Linked DNA regions of Drosophila melanogaster. The protein of the gene in region 2 purifies or fractionates together with the protein of the main gene of each other region. This does not show direct contact. Each region holds a gene or a part of one and is shown on either strand. Other genes may lie near its edges.

The links.
Region 1: the proteins of dpr1 (region 2) and DIP-theta purify together in Drosophila melanogaster (affinity purification with western blotting; 2 studies listed by BioGRID). This does not show direct contact.

Annotation. Positions count from the first base shown.
Region 1 is NT_033779.5:5,655,442-5,662,555, forward strand, and holds the start of DIP-theta (Dpr-interacting protein theta), read right to left. Parts: upstream 3,120-7,114; 5' UTR 2,954-3,119; intron 1-2,953.
Region 2 is NT_033778.4:20,694,658-20,703,190, reverse strand, and holds the start of dpr1 (defective proboscis extension response 1), read right to left. Parts: upstream 4,709-8,533; 5' UTR 4,006-4,708; coding exon 3,921-4,005; intron 1-3,920.

The DNA of each region.
Region 1 (7,114 bases), on a different chromosome or scaffold from region 2:
GGAATATTTATCTTTTCGACGCGACATTTCTTGGTCATCCTATTATGAAGACTTACAGCTATTCGTTACGAAAAATTCTTGTGGCTTGAAAATCAATAAATATGCAAGTAAAGGAAATATTTTTTTCTGGTTTTAGGCAACCAGCAAGGGTAGTCGAAACTTTTGAGAAATTGCGAAACGTCATTTATCTATTGTAAAAGGAGAAAATGAGTACTTGGGCTATGAGTGCTTCTTGGCCCTCGGTTTAATTAGAGCCACATCCACTGGGAGCGTTTACATCATTTGCCATAATTCATCTGTCCACTGACTGCCAGCTGCTGTTGTGCATCGCTCGAAATAAAAATCAAATCACAGAGCCGTCCATCTTGGCTGTCAGTTGCCATGATGCTTGCTTGTTTTTCCTTGCCTTGTCTCTTCTCAGCTGGGAAATTTCTTTTAATATAACAAGCCATGCGAAATGCGTACACAAAAAGATGGCAAAATGCTTGCTCCAACGCCCGCTCACACTAACTAGCCACAAGCAGCATTTCCCACTGACATGCAGCTTGTGCATTTTCCCCGTCTTGCATTTGATTAACCTACAAAAAGGCGTTTGGACGTGCGATGCAGTTCGCACAGTGGGCGTTCCTGTTTGTTGCTGCGGTTTCTGGGCTTTTCTTAACGGGCAACTTTAATAAAAAAAACGGTCAGCGGGGGACGGGATGCAGCTGCAGCGGGGGAAAATGCATAAATGCATAAAAAATTGGCCAGCTTACAAGCCGCTTTACATATGCAACATGGGCGCCTGCTGTGCGGGTGTGTGGGTGTGCGGAAGTGCATTGGCACACATATACTTGTACGAGCACACATTGTTGCAAGCAGACATTTTTCCGACACGTGTTTGCTTTCCCGCACTTCCGTTTCCGCCGAGCCATTGATGTGACTTTCCGTCATTTTGTGGGAGAACGAGCTGCTTTTCCGACGCCTTGCCAGCCCCTCAAAGACTTAATTATTTTTCACCAAATAATTAATCAGAGTGAAATGGGAAACTAACAAAATCGGACAGGATGGTGAGACCGACCCCATTTACTCTTGTGATGAAATTTCGAAACTTTGGTAAAACACTTTTTGGCCCTGTGCGAAAGTATGCTGTGAACTATTGCAGCCACCTGAAAGCATTCACGCATATTCGTATGTGTGCGCGTGTGTGTGTGGCCAAGCGTTTGCGCTCGTTTGTGTTTTGTGGGTTGGCCATGCATTTCCGGTTTTAATGATTATAACACAATCAAGTGCATATTGCCTAATTAGCGATCCCCAGCAGCAAGCGCCGTCCAGGCCGCATAAAGTGCATAAAATATTTCCCGCACTCGCTGCGGGCGCTTCATCCGCATGTGCATATGCATGTGTTAGTGTTCGCTCGCGTGCGCTAGTGTGTGTGAGTGCTCGCATATTTTATGTCGCTTATTGGACGGCCATCCACAACGAGCTGTGCATCTATAGTATGTATGTGCATGTATATGCTTCTAGCAGCTAAATTTCATATTCATGTTGTTTATACGGCTTCCGTTTTGGGTGCGTGTGCGAAAATATTGTGTGTAATTGTGCGGTCGGCTACCCGTTTTATTTGATAATTGTGCACAAAACTCCCCACCTATTCATTAGCGCTGACGAACAGCGCCCCACAAATTTGTAGACACAACAAAGGCAAACTGTTATTCCATTTTCCCCCCCAAAGTCTGACACTTGACGCGAGCTCCCAATAATTTAGTTAAAGCTCGTCCTTGGGTGATTTTCGTCCTGCACTTCAAACTGTTTTCGGGCTACAAGTGAAGTAAAGTTATCAAAAAAGTTTGCTGATACCAAGTATTCGACGTTTCGCAAACTTTTCTGAATTATATGTGTATATACGAAAGTAGTGAATGCATATAATAAAGGATAAACGTTGCTTAAGAAATCATGTTGCATGGAACTTAATTTGTTAAGCACATCATTCAGGCTTGAATATTTTTAGCTAGCAATGGCAATGCTAGAAGTCAAAGGAATTGTAATAATAATAAATCGCTATTTTGTTTATGTTGATAACGAGAAGGATATTTTAGGATACTAATATACAAAATACAAAGACAAAATATCCTAGGGGTTTCAAATCATAGAATTGGGCAGAGCTAACAAGTTATTAAGGCATAAAAACCAAATATATATATATAAATATATATATATATGTATCCTTTTGCCATTAATGTTAACCTTTATTGTATACAATAATTGTTTTTCTGACCCTGTTGTTTAAGTTTTCCTTTCATCAATATAAAAGCTTTTTTCCTTTTTTCTTAGATTTATTACGCGTTTTATAACAAACCGCTGCTGTAATGTGACACGGCTTTATGTTGTCAACCACTTTCGAAAGTAATTCATTTTTTTTCAAACAAAATTTCATAATTTCGTTGCGTTCTGTTTGATCATAATCCTGTTTTGAAACGACATTTTTTGTTGATGCTGCGCTTTGCGGGCCACTTTTAATTGCAATAATTAAATGTCAAATTAAATCCTAAATTCCTCGGTGGAATTAATTCAATTGGCGTGACAGTCAAAGTGAAATAACGAATAAAATACCACAATTTCCCAGCGCCGCTAGGGCCCTTCTATAAATGCCGTTTGCAGGCTCTACCAGCCGAGAGAAATGCTGTGATTGTTTTTCCGCAAGTCGGCACTCCTCTTTCATTTTTTTTCGCCAGCCATTTAATGAGCCACGCTCGACTTGCCGCCAAGAATGCAATCAACAGGGGAGGGGAGCGGAGAATGCACGGGTATGCACCAGGACCTTAGTACCCAGCAAGGAGCCAGGACCGGCACAATTTGCGTTAAGCGGGCTGTGAAAAATGAAGTACCAAATTGAAGTTGGCAGCCAGCGTCTCCGGTTGTGTCTTGCACTTATTTATTTATTTAATTCTGGCCATTCCTTCCGCTTACGTACAGTGCTGAGCTATTGTCCTCCGATGATATCGCAGGCACTCGCGACTCGCGGCATTCAATTCAAGCGAGGGACGAAACGCGAGCGCGTCGACTTTCGACACCAACGTGTTAAGAGCTGCGAACTGGTGCGACCGTCAGCGTTGCGCACTAAAACCATACTAAACTAATTTGCTTAGCAGGACGCACTGATTACACAAAGTCCTCGAAGGGCGATAATCGCCGTCATTCGTCACGACTGTCGACTACCGAGCGCTCTTCGGCTCGGAGTTCGTGGAGTTCGGCAAGCACTCGCGAACTTGCCGAAGCGAGCCGAACTCCAAAGGCAAAGAGAACCAGGTCCCGTTAGAGAGCAACAGAGCCAGAGCTCTGTTAGCTGGTTAACAGTGCTGTGGCAGGATAAGAAACCATTGTTGGGGCATCGAAGTCGACCCTTATAGCAGCAAACTATTCTTCCTATTTGGTGGGCTTAAATCTACAATGCAACTTCCAAATAGACCAAACGACTCATATCCTGGCATACTGATTTTTAGAGCTCTTTCCACTAATTTATCGATTTAAATGCAAAAATTTCGTGCCATCTAGCCCGGCATTCCCCAATGATGACCGAGCTTTCAATCATTTAAAATTCCCCAAATACACACACACACGCGGAACACACTCTTCCCTCATCAATGCAAAAATCAAACATTATTTATGCAAATTACAAGCCATTATTATTTAAGCCAACAACCACAAAGGCAGTAATAGTGGGCAAGTACGAGGAGGGGAAAGGGAAACTCCGACCAACAATCATATCCGTCATAGTCATAAAGCCAGGGACCAGGGGACAGCGGGGCCTGCCAATGCTTTGGGGAACCAATTTGGCAGCCGGCATAAATAAATTTTTACTTAATGTAGGTCAGTAATGTGCGCTTCGGTCTCTCTTACCCAAGGCTTCTCTCTTCGGCAAGCGGTGCTCTTTAGAGCGTTCTCTCTTCGGACGCAGCGCCGTGAAATATGCTACTAAAGTTGCTTCTTTTCCGGCTGCGTGTGTGTAGGTGCTCGGGAAATGCCATCAAGCATCAAAGGACCGGGTATGCTTGCATAATGCAAACAGCCAATGATATTGCCATGATTCGTTGAATAATTTCAATTCCAGCTTTCAAGTTGCACACACCAGTAGTCGGTAATTGGTATTAAATAGTTGGGTAGTTAAAAATTTGATGTCATAAAAATAATAAATGCTATTTAGTTATTTGGTAGGAAATCTTCATAAATTCTTAGCTTTCTTCTAAATTCAAAGGTGAAAAGTAAACGCTAGTAGCACAAATTTTTTAGTGTTAAGATATTTTTCGAACATAAAACAATTGCATCTGAATACCTTCGAATAAGCACTGACGCTAACACGATGAATAGCTGAGTGATATCCATCCTAAGTAAAGTTGCATTTGCCAGGGGCTGCATAAATAAATTAGGATACCGAAACTGAGCCAACCGTCTAAACTTCAAAACTCACTTGGTTTCCCATGGATTTTTGCGTAAGTTTAGCTCTACTCACAGTAGACTGCTACAGTCTCCCCCTTCATTCCCTTTAAACAGATCCTGAGACCCACACAAAATCGTCTCCTTGTAACGCATCCTGCAACGCAAGTTGCTCGAAATTTATGTACAAACTCACTTAGGCAAGAATGTTTATGCGTTTTGTACGTGTTGGTTACTGTCGCTCATGTGGGTAGCATCCTCCACATCCTTACCTTGCGCCATCTCATTCCAGCGATCCCACTCGTTTATTTTGGCATTTCTACGAATTTTTTGGGGAAATTTTGTAATGCTGTTCTATGTCCTGAATGTTGTCTCCGGGGAGAAGAAGTGGCCAAGGGGGAAAATGCCTTCTCACGCACACCGAGAAGTGTTATGAAATTTTTCTTCTCTAATGACCTAAATGCAAAGGAATTTCATCTAGCATTTGAGCTAATTGCTATTGCATTGCGTACCATTTAAGTTTCCGTAAATTAAGCTAACAGTCATTGCCTAGGACACGTTAAGTAACAAGTTAGGGCACAGTCCTTGGCACTCAAAGTAGCCACATTTAAATTTCTCTAATTCTTCCTAAGGGGTCATGCCAAAAGCTTTACCGTAAAGAAGAGTCGTCCTTCACGCCTCGACAATTTGAGCATTTTTCCTTCGCAGACTGTTTCCCTTGATCACTTCGGCTGTAAACTATACTTGGCAGTTGCATGAGGGCCAATTATCTGGCACCTCGAGCGGCGGTTTCATTCCAGCTATTTACATATAATTAGCGCCCAACTGGCAGACCGTTGCATCGTTTTTCGCCACTCTCGTTCTCCGTATTTGCACAACGCAGTTTTTGTGCATTTCTTTGTAGTTTCCCACTCCAACTTTCCCTTCAAGACTCTTTGCCAACTTTGACAATGAAGTTGCAACGATGACAACCCCAACAAACTGGAGCGAGTGAAAATATGTAGAAGAGCTTTCAACTGGAGTCGATCAAAAGTTACCCTGCTCAATCGACCCAATTGGCTAAACAAATCAGAATGAGTCTTACTTGCTTGTATGAAAGTGATATCAAAATAATTGTAGTTGAAGTGCAAAAAAATACAGCAGTAACGCATTGAGACAATACATCCAGAAATATCTGAGATAAATCATGTTTGCTTCTTATTATTTTCGTATATAACTCAAGAATATTCAGCTAACTGGGTAATATACCGCGTATAAAAAGGACCGAGACCATCGAAGGTATGCGAAAAACTTTCCCGGCTGATGGCAGTTGCATAGAGGCGCCAACTTAATAAGGCCACCAAAGAGCCCAGTGGGTGGCGCGTATGCAAAGCAGGGGGCTGGAAAAAAGAATTCACGATGCAGAGAAAGGAACTGAGGCTCCCTTGAAGGCAACACTTTCTATCATTCCAAAAGCAGCCAGCTCAAAGCGGGATATATTCCGCCTGATTGCACTGAGATGCTGGGGTCCATGGCGCAAACAAATTCGCAAACGCTCAATTGGCAGAGGTCGAATGCAGCCCCTTACTTGGTTGACAGACAGCTCTGAGTTTGTTTGTCGGCTGAGCAATGGGCGAAACCAACCCGGCGTATACGTAATGGAGCTTATTGATGAGCGAAAGTAAGCCCAGGACCTTTCCATTTTTGATTCGCCATTCCCCGCTCTAGCCATAATAGCACAGTCATCTGTGGCGGTCATTTTCATTAGCTGGCATCACGCGGTGGATGCAATAGCCACAACAACAGCAGCTTCCTCCTCACCAATTGAGCGGAGCTTTGTCCAAGGATACCCACCTGACTGCAGTTAATTTTGCTGATGCCCACGCTGTTGACTGTTTGGCTGCTGGCTCAGCTCCTGTTTTTGGCACCCGACTGCAGTGAAAACCAATTATGAGGCCTCCAGCAAAGGCTGCATGCAACATGGAATCTTCTGGAGTGCGGATTGTGCCAGTAGACCGAAAAATCTCTACATTTTTGGTTAAACCTTTAAAATGAAAAAAAGAAGATTACTCCATTTTTCTATCGCCATGTATTGCTTTTTATTTTCCTACGAATAACTACGAGTAGCAACCAATACGTCATACGCGTAACTAATTAGTTCATCATTTACTGATTGCACTTTTCTGGTCTTCCGCAAACACAAACTTGATCAACGCAGGTAAACTGGTGCTTTTTGGTACACAGCAAAACACCAGATCTCATTATCATTTTACCCTTCAGAGCCATCTGACATTCCAAACGGCCTCTACAAAAACTACCAGCTGACAAAATTGCTTCACAAATAAATACTATTAAGCAAAGTAAGCTGGCTTCTTTTCGATGACATTTCGATGGCATTGTGATGTGAATAAGAACTAAACTATAATTCCTCTGGGCTTAAATAGTAAACGGCTTAACTATTTAAGTGTTGCAAATGTGATTTATTCCGGTTCTTGCCAACTTTTCAACGAATGTAACATACTCTTTTGCTGTTCTAAAACTATATTTTATTATCTGCATATATCAGCAAAAATCTCAATAACACATTCCACGAAAGTCTAAGAAGTAGAAATGAGCTTCGTATACGTGTACAAAATGCCTTTCTACATGCAGAACGTGATGTCAACAGCAGTTTTGCATCGACTTCGATAAATGCCAGTAGGGTTACAAAAGGAATAAAATA
Region 2 (8,533 bases):
GCCATGCTTGGACTTTGAAAATTAGTTGAAATCAAATGCATAAATTTTCCTCTTTCTTGGCTGATTCGGTTTTCTCTGCACTGGTGCTCCAAAGTTACGTGACCGAAATAGTTGAGTTAGCAAGAAAGCGCTGTGCCAAGTGAATCAAAAAATAATGCTCATGTATGTATGTATCTTACGCACATGGATGCCGAGCCATTGGGGCAAAATAAAAACAATTTTCATTTATATATTTTCCTGACGAAAACCTAAAAAAAAAAAAACGAAAACGAAAGCACACACACTCAAGGGGCTTGAGCAACAGAAACAACAATCTTGCACACAAGAAAACCTTGGCTGTCATATAAATGTCAAATCCATAAGTGTTACGAAGGCAGCGGTAAAAAAATAATGTTGGTTTGACCTGCGCCTAGAAAGGGAATCATAATTTGAAAAGCTGTGGATTTGCCTAAAAAAATATATATACCTTGCTTGTCAACGACTTGCGCAACTTTTCAGCTTTTGGCCCGAAAAAAAAACTTTGTGCCAGCAGTTTAATTAGGAAACTATTTGACAATACTTTGCCTAATTAACTACTCAAACTCGCTCGACACTTAAATATATTGAAGTATTACATAAGACTTATGTTTAAGAAAGTTATTCATGGCTTGCTACACAAAGCTCTGTTAAACCAATGATTTGGGATTTGGGATAGTTTATTATTTTGAGCCAGATTTAAATATGTTTCATACATCAGTTAAAAGATAACTTTGTAAAGTGAATAAATTACTTTAATAAATGACTTCCAGATTTCTGTAATCCCTGACCATCCTCAAGTACAGTCCTTGGTCTATTAAATGATTAATGATGCCATTCGACTTTCCCTCCAAACTCCTTGAGCCAAATATAGTCTAGAGTCCTTCCGGTGGAACTTTTAACCACCCATTCATCACAAATTCCTGTAAAGCCATATTCCATTAAAATCAACAACGGGCTAAGTTTGTTTCTTCAAGCAGCTTTTTTTTGGGGGGTGAAAACCAAAAGTATGTTTATATTTATACGCATAAAAAAAGATAAGGTACAAATCTGGTTGGTCGGCCTTGATGAAGAATCCGTCGGGTTTTCACGCCGCTGCCTGTGTGAATAACCTGTACCCGCCGGCAAACAGATCCTGCGAACCCTTGAGTATGTGCTTTGCATACTTTGAGGCGCCGCCTCGTCAGTTTTTCATCGGATAAAATGAGAACGAAATGGATGGCAGTACGGTGGATGGATGGATGGATGGGCATTGCGTGCTCTCCTAGGCGTTTGTCTGGGCCAATGCGTCGGCTCATTCATCAGTCTGACACCGCTGAATGATGCCGGCCTACGCTGAATTGTTTCGCCAGCAATTATATGTATATGTATATTTTCCCAGCATTGCTTCTGTATTAACTGTACTCAACGGAAAATCACGTCGGTTATTATCATTTTTTCGCCATTGATTCATTTTGCTTTCCTTTTCGGCGACATGGAAAATATTTACAAAAATACTTAATAGTGGCTGCGGGGGAGGTCAAAAAACACGGCACATGCGAGTTATGCGGTGAAAAAGGGCAAAATCGTTTGTTTGGCTTATATGGCAAAACAGCTGTGCAAATAACTGCAATTTTGCATACAGAGTGACACGCACACACACACACACATACAAAGAGCCAAACCGCAAGGGCAGAATTTATTTATTAATAAACCAACAAACCAAATAACACGAGCTCGCGAAAGGACACGATCGAAAGTTTTATGAATTCATTATGGAAATATGCGCATGCATTTGTCGAGTTTTTCCCTGTCAATTAATTTGAGAAAAAGAATCAAACAGCCGGCCGAAAATTTGCCTCAAAAAATTCCAATATGCATATATATATAATAAAAATAAAAATAATCTGCATAATAATATGCAAATTTAACTATAAAATATTGGTACTTAAAAAGTGAATATGGCTAATTGTCAAAGTTGTCCATGCTAAAGTAGTGAAAAATTACATTTTAGATTTTGACTTGTTAGCCTTTTGCAATCAACTTAAACCATCTTTATGCCCAAAAACTTTGTATTAAATAATTTTAATTCCAATATATCATTACAAGTAATAATCATCACCTTTGTGAGAGAACAAATAAAACCCAGACCAAAGAAAATCCTTGGAAAATCGGTTGCCCAGTAATTCGATAGGAATCTTTTTTGATTGCTTGCCTTTTTGCAGGTTCTGCAATTGCCAAGATGAGTTATTTCGTCTGTTTGTCTGCGCTTAACCAACTTCAAGTAGCTTTTAGCCAAATGAAATGGCCAGACAGATGCCAATGGGCTAACAAGATAGGCGGGTAGAAGGCAAAGAAGCAGCCAAGTCAAAGGAAAGCAGGACGAAGGAAACAATTTGCGCAAAAGCGAATTGCATTCGGAAAGTATTTCATTTGAAAATTACAAAGCCCAGACGAACAACTGCCAAGTCAAATGATGGAAAATTGTATAAAAATGCAATTTACTGTTTTCAGAGATGACAAACGACGAGCTGAAAACGGAAAGTAGAAAATTGCTAGCCGCTGAAAGCTAAAAAGTGCAAACTTAAAAGCAGCAAACAGGCGGCTAAACCCCAAAACTGAAAAACCAAAAAGCCAAGCCAAGCCCAATGGCAATAGTTTCGTGTGTCAACTGCAACGTGCCACATGCAACGCAGCTGCTGCTGCTGCTGCGCAAGCGGCAACAACATCAAGTGCAACTGCAGCCAGAAGCATTTTGGCCATGACCAAGCTTCAACAGCATTTTCCAAGTGTCTGCCGCTCGTTAGTATGTGTTATTTTTCATATTTACTTTTTATTTTCCCACATTTCTATCTCTGTGGCGCGGCGCATCACAAGCGCGTGCTTCTCATTTGATGCATTGAAAGTGAGACTTGTGCCCCACTGTTGCAAACTATTATATAAAACCGTTTGCCCAGCCCACACGTTGCATGTGGCATTCGCACTCGCACTATGCGGCCATTCGCCATTCATCCTCCTGCCCTTCAGTTGGTCACTGGACCAACCTTGTGGGCTGCGAAACTAGGACTGCAAAACTCTGGACAGGAGTGGGTCACGAATGCACGGAAAATCAAATAGCCGGAGTACTTAGTTGCATATATGCTTTTCTGTAAATAATAGTTTTAAATGCAGATGATAGTAGACTAGCCTTTAAAACATTTTCTAACTACTTTTGTATGTGATTGTATCTATAAAACTAAATATTGTACAATAACAATGTGAGTATTTCAAGTTCTTACTTCAAACAAAGTTTAAGTAGAATATTCTAAAAGTGTTGTTAAATTCAATCCAAAATCCAATATTAAAACATTTTGTAATATTATATAATTTAACAGAAATATACTTTAGCTGACTTTGTTAACTCATCTTAACCCAAAAAAAAACATGAAGAGTTCGTATAAATACATATATAATATATGCATTAAAAACAAAAATATTCTAAAACCAAGATGCGGGGGGAGCACTCGTTTTTCCCTCTGTATAATGTTTCATTTTGTTGGTTCTCCACTTTTTGGGAGTCACACACAGATGGGCATTAAATGCTTCACCTTTTGACTTGCGCCAGGGACAAAAGGGAAAACTTTTGCCGACTCTGTAGCGGAATTAAAATTCTTAGCACAAAAATTAAAGAATTTTCAATTCGCATTCGCCCGCTTTCCAGGCCAGCGAAAATCGCTCGTTTTCCGGAAATTAGACGGGAAATCCTAGGCGACAAAGGAAAGTCTTTGGGTTACAACGGGCATGGTGGGCGTGATGGGCGTGGTGGGCATGGTGAGCATGGGGGCAATTAGGTGGGCCAAAGCGCGGCGCAAACAAATTAAATTTAATTAGAAATTAAATGAAAATAAATTGGATTATTTAATTAAAAAGCCCGACGCACAACTCACCTCTGAGCAAAACCATCGACAGCAGCAGCAGCCAGCCGATGAGCCAGTTGAGTAATCCGATATTGGCTCTGGATGGCAGGGACATTGTGCTGCTGTATCTGTATCTGTATCTGTGTATCTGCGGTTGTTATCCGCAAGTTTATTGTTATTACGCTTGTAGTTGGCACGCGATCCGGATCCGGCGAAACGGATTCCGGTGTGGTGGGGGTGCACCCGGGTGGTGGAACGTCACTGGTCAACTAACGATTCCGTCAAATTAGAGCCCGGCAAAACTCTCGGTTAAGCTCTGCCTGGGGAGCAATGAAAGTACTTTCTCCGCTTGGCCCTGTTTTTGGTTCGTTTTCACTGAGAGTTGACCTTTTTTTCTGGTTTTGTTTTTTTTTTCTTTTTTGTTAATCTGCTGCGAAATGAGCTTTACACAAGAACTTTTTTTTTTGTGGGCGTGCGAAAGGTTTTAACGGTCTACGAACACTTCAAACAGATCGTAAGCCCAAAAGCCGCTAAGCAGTAGGCTACACTTTGTGGGCGCCTCTAATTTATGGCACTGTGTTTCACTGTACTCAGTCGCTCGGTTCAGCTCATTACGGCGCCCCATGCATGTGGCTATTGCATTTTAATCGCCCCGTCATTAATTCGCCATTAACACGAAGGCCCGGGCACTCATTAGGCCCACTTTTTCGAAACCCTCAACACTGAGGAATATATCTGAACAGGATTTAACTGGGACTACAACCCGCGCACATAAATCAAGAAACGCGTGCTTCGCCTTCGAGTCACAGGATGGAACTGACTGGTAATCGGCGCTCGGGCACATGGCGAACGCCTCGACTTCGGCTAACTTCGGCACTCGGGCAAGTTCGCATATATATTGTTCACATGTAAGAGCAAAGAGAACTAAAACTGCAGAGCCGCTCTCTTCAGTCGGCTTATTGGAGCACGAAATTACCAAGCAACTTTGTTTATATCGAATATAATGTCTCAGGTAATAAAGCACTATTGCAACTGTAATAAAATGCTTATGAATAATTATATTACAGCCTTTACTAATTATTTAATTATTATTAAGACTCATAAAACCTTTTTTTTAACATATTAGTATTGTATTCCACTTTCTAGGGACTTAGTTTTACCATTCTGCTTTTAAAATGTAGGGAAATCATAAAAGGAAATAAATTGTTCTACTTCTTAATAAATGAAACTTGCTTCTTGTTTTTAATATAATATTTAATTATGCCCACTACCATTTAAGCTGCTAAACAATAAGAAAACCGCGCAAAAATATCCTGCCATAGGTCAGTTAGGGATACTCTTATACTGCCGCTCTTATACTCCGCAGGCCTAAAGAGAAAATGTCCAGTGTATGAAAACTGTTACAGTTCCACGTTCTCTGCAGTTCAATTGAGCGGCAAACAAAAAATGCATTTTTAATTAATGCTCCTAATTAGCACTTTTTAGTGTTTTTTTTTTTTTCTTTTTCTTATTTTTTGTTTATTTGCTGCGAATTTCCCTGAAGCGTTCTTAGTACTGGGACTCATCGCAGCCACCCAAAAGCACAAAGGAAAAGCACACACGAGAATTTCAATCAATTGCGAAACTTTTAATTACAAGTCAATTTAATTTTGTGCAAACAAACAGATCAAATGCACTCGATAACACCCCCCAAACCCCTCGCCTTGCTATTGGTCAAGCCGAAGCGTTTAAATCAATTAAATTAATTAGCGACTGTGAAATATATACATATATTTGTGCAGATTGGCCAGAACTTTTTCCGCCTGATTATTTTTAATTGATTGGCCCAGCTTTTGGCTTTCCCAGCTTACGACTTATGGCCCACTGCCCAAACATTGCCAGTATTATGCAATCAACTTGCGGACTTATAAATACCACCCAACCAATCAAGGTCGCCGCAATTAGCGGCCCCAAAAAGCGATTACTACCATTCGATAACCGAAGGAGGCGTTCAGTCGGGGGGGCGTGGCGATGGAGGCACGTGTCAATCGCAAGCCGCTTATAGATAAAGTAAAAGGCGAAAAAGCAAAGTCAGTAAACTTTTTAATTGAAACAATTTGTAAAATGTTGCCCAAATACCATCCCATTGTTCATCATAGACAGAAATAAAGAAATGGCCAACTTTCAGGACTCGCTTTTAATCCTCCATTTCGCGGAGCCTTGAGCGTTCCATTTTTACTAATTCCTGGCCTCCTGTGTGATTTCTTAATTGAATTACCCTCGTCTGATTTAACCGAACGGTAGCGGCGAAAACAGTTATTGATTTTCTATATTGACAAAAACAAGTTACTCCCCACAAAAAAAAAAAAAACAACAAATCTGGCTCGGTTTATGTTCTATCTTTGCTTCAGCGAAATCATTATTCCAATCAGAGACGCACGCCCGCCTCACAATTGGATTTGGATTCGAATTCGGATATGGATCCGGGTTCGGAATGGGGAAGTCTGAGTTACCAGCTAAGAAGGGTGGGCAAACAAATCAAAAATCTATTAAGACGTGCGATGCGGCACATTCAGGCTCAACAAATGTCCTTGCGGTCACGTGTCACCGCGAAGTTGCAATTGTGCACACAAAAAAAATTAGTGGTCCATTGGCTAAAAATAAATCTTACAGATTTATTATTCATGGCAGAATAAATCATCACTGAGTAATAGCACCAGAAGTAACTATAATTGTAATCTATGATCCTTTTCAATACTGCATCGTTTTTTTTTTCAAGTGTTTAGGCATATCTCGACGCCCATTGACAAAGCATCCCAAAGAGACGAGACCTTCATTTTGGTGGCAGATATGAGGTTGCGGCTGGTTTCCTCCTGAAACTGAAACTGGAGGAGCTGGAGCTGGAGACGGCTTCATTAGGAGTGCAGCGTTGGAAGAGCTGACCCCTTGGAGGGCAGGAGTGGGTTGGTATGGTATGGTAGATACAAGGGTGGCAAGTGCCATTAATTGAAATGCCAAGCAACAGCTCGTTGGGGCAACGAGGCATGACCACATTACAGCCGCACACACACGCGTGCTCGTCACTCCAACTTGTTTATACTTTCCGAGATGGTTTTGATTTTGGGCAGTGGGTATGCTTCGGTATCATGCGGTCCACTCCCCCCCATTGGGGAAAACCTATAAAACAAAGGAAACCAAAGCAAAGCAAGCAAAACAAATGGGAGAGAGAGAAAAAAAAGCAAAGGGAGCAGAATGAAATGAGCGGCAGTGCAATAAAAATCAAACCCGCATAATTTAACACAAGTGCGCGCACTCAGAACAGCTGACTCTCGTCCGCCGGGGGAGCACCAGCCACCCACTCTGGTTGCCAGCCACCCACTTTTTGGGGCTGTAGAAAAAAAAGCGTGTGTGATGACACTCAGGAAAACATCTCAATTATTTGTTGACTCTGACACACCGCTCCCCACACTTGCCCCATTTTATTATCAGCCCAAGAGCATCGGCATTAACATTTAAAACAATTCTCAATGTTGTAAAAAGCAAGTGTAGCACTGTGGCTGCCTTCGAAGGTCGGCTAACATATACTATTCGTATTTGTATATCCGCCTTCACGATTCACACGCCTGCATACTTAATGCCAGCAACAACCACAAGGAACGCTCTCGACCTCTGACCCCCCCAACAACCAACTAACCATTACATGGTATAGAAAATCACTAGGGTTGCCAGCAAGTAAGCCACACAACAGTTTCTCTTATCGCTCAAATGTCATCGACTGTCGGCAGTGTTTGGCTTTCGCTTTCCCATTCCTTTTGACTTTAGTTTTTCGGCTTTGGTATAAGCAACCCAAAAAGAAAAAAGAAAACAGTGGAAAAGCACCCCTCTGGCCATTTAACCCAACCCCCTGCCCACCCAAAAAGGGCGTTCATTTGTGAAATTCTAGCCATGCCCAGGGGCGGCACTTGCGGCATTTAGTTAGTAATTTAGCGCATTTAGTACGCATTTTCAGCCGGGGGATTCGAGGGGAGCAACTGCCCTTCTGGGGTCACGGCCTCGGTCATTAGGCTCAGCCTTTCACTGCGATACTAAAGTGCACAATAATTGTAGTTTGCTGCTGATTCGTTCATGAATATACAAACATACAGTCGTCCTTTCAAACAGGAAAGGATTCTTATTTTCATTTCAAAGTAAGGTTTAGAACTTATTTTTACATTACCAAAATGTACATGGAAAACTTGCGTATTTACATAGCTTTTCTTAACTAGACAGTTATTCCTTCAGATTTGAGTTCACCATATAGATGTTCTACTGTCCATAGCATATGTACGCACAGAGATTGTCCGAATGGTCGTTTAAAGGGCCAGAGATATGGTAATTTGAGTTTGATTTTCTTCGAGAAATAGTTTGCTGCCAGGCACTTGCCACACTTTAATATTTCGCTTTAATAATTCGTTCATGAATATACAAACATACAGTCGTCCTTTCAAACAGGAAAGGATTCCTCTTTTCATTTCAAGGTTTAGGTGTAATAATAAGGCTTAGAACTTATTTTTACATTACAAAAATGTACATGGAAAACTTGCGTATTTACATAGCTTTTCTTAACTAGAGAGTTATTCCTTCAGATTTGAGTTCACCGTATAGATGTTCTACTGTCCATGGCA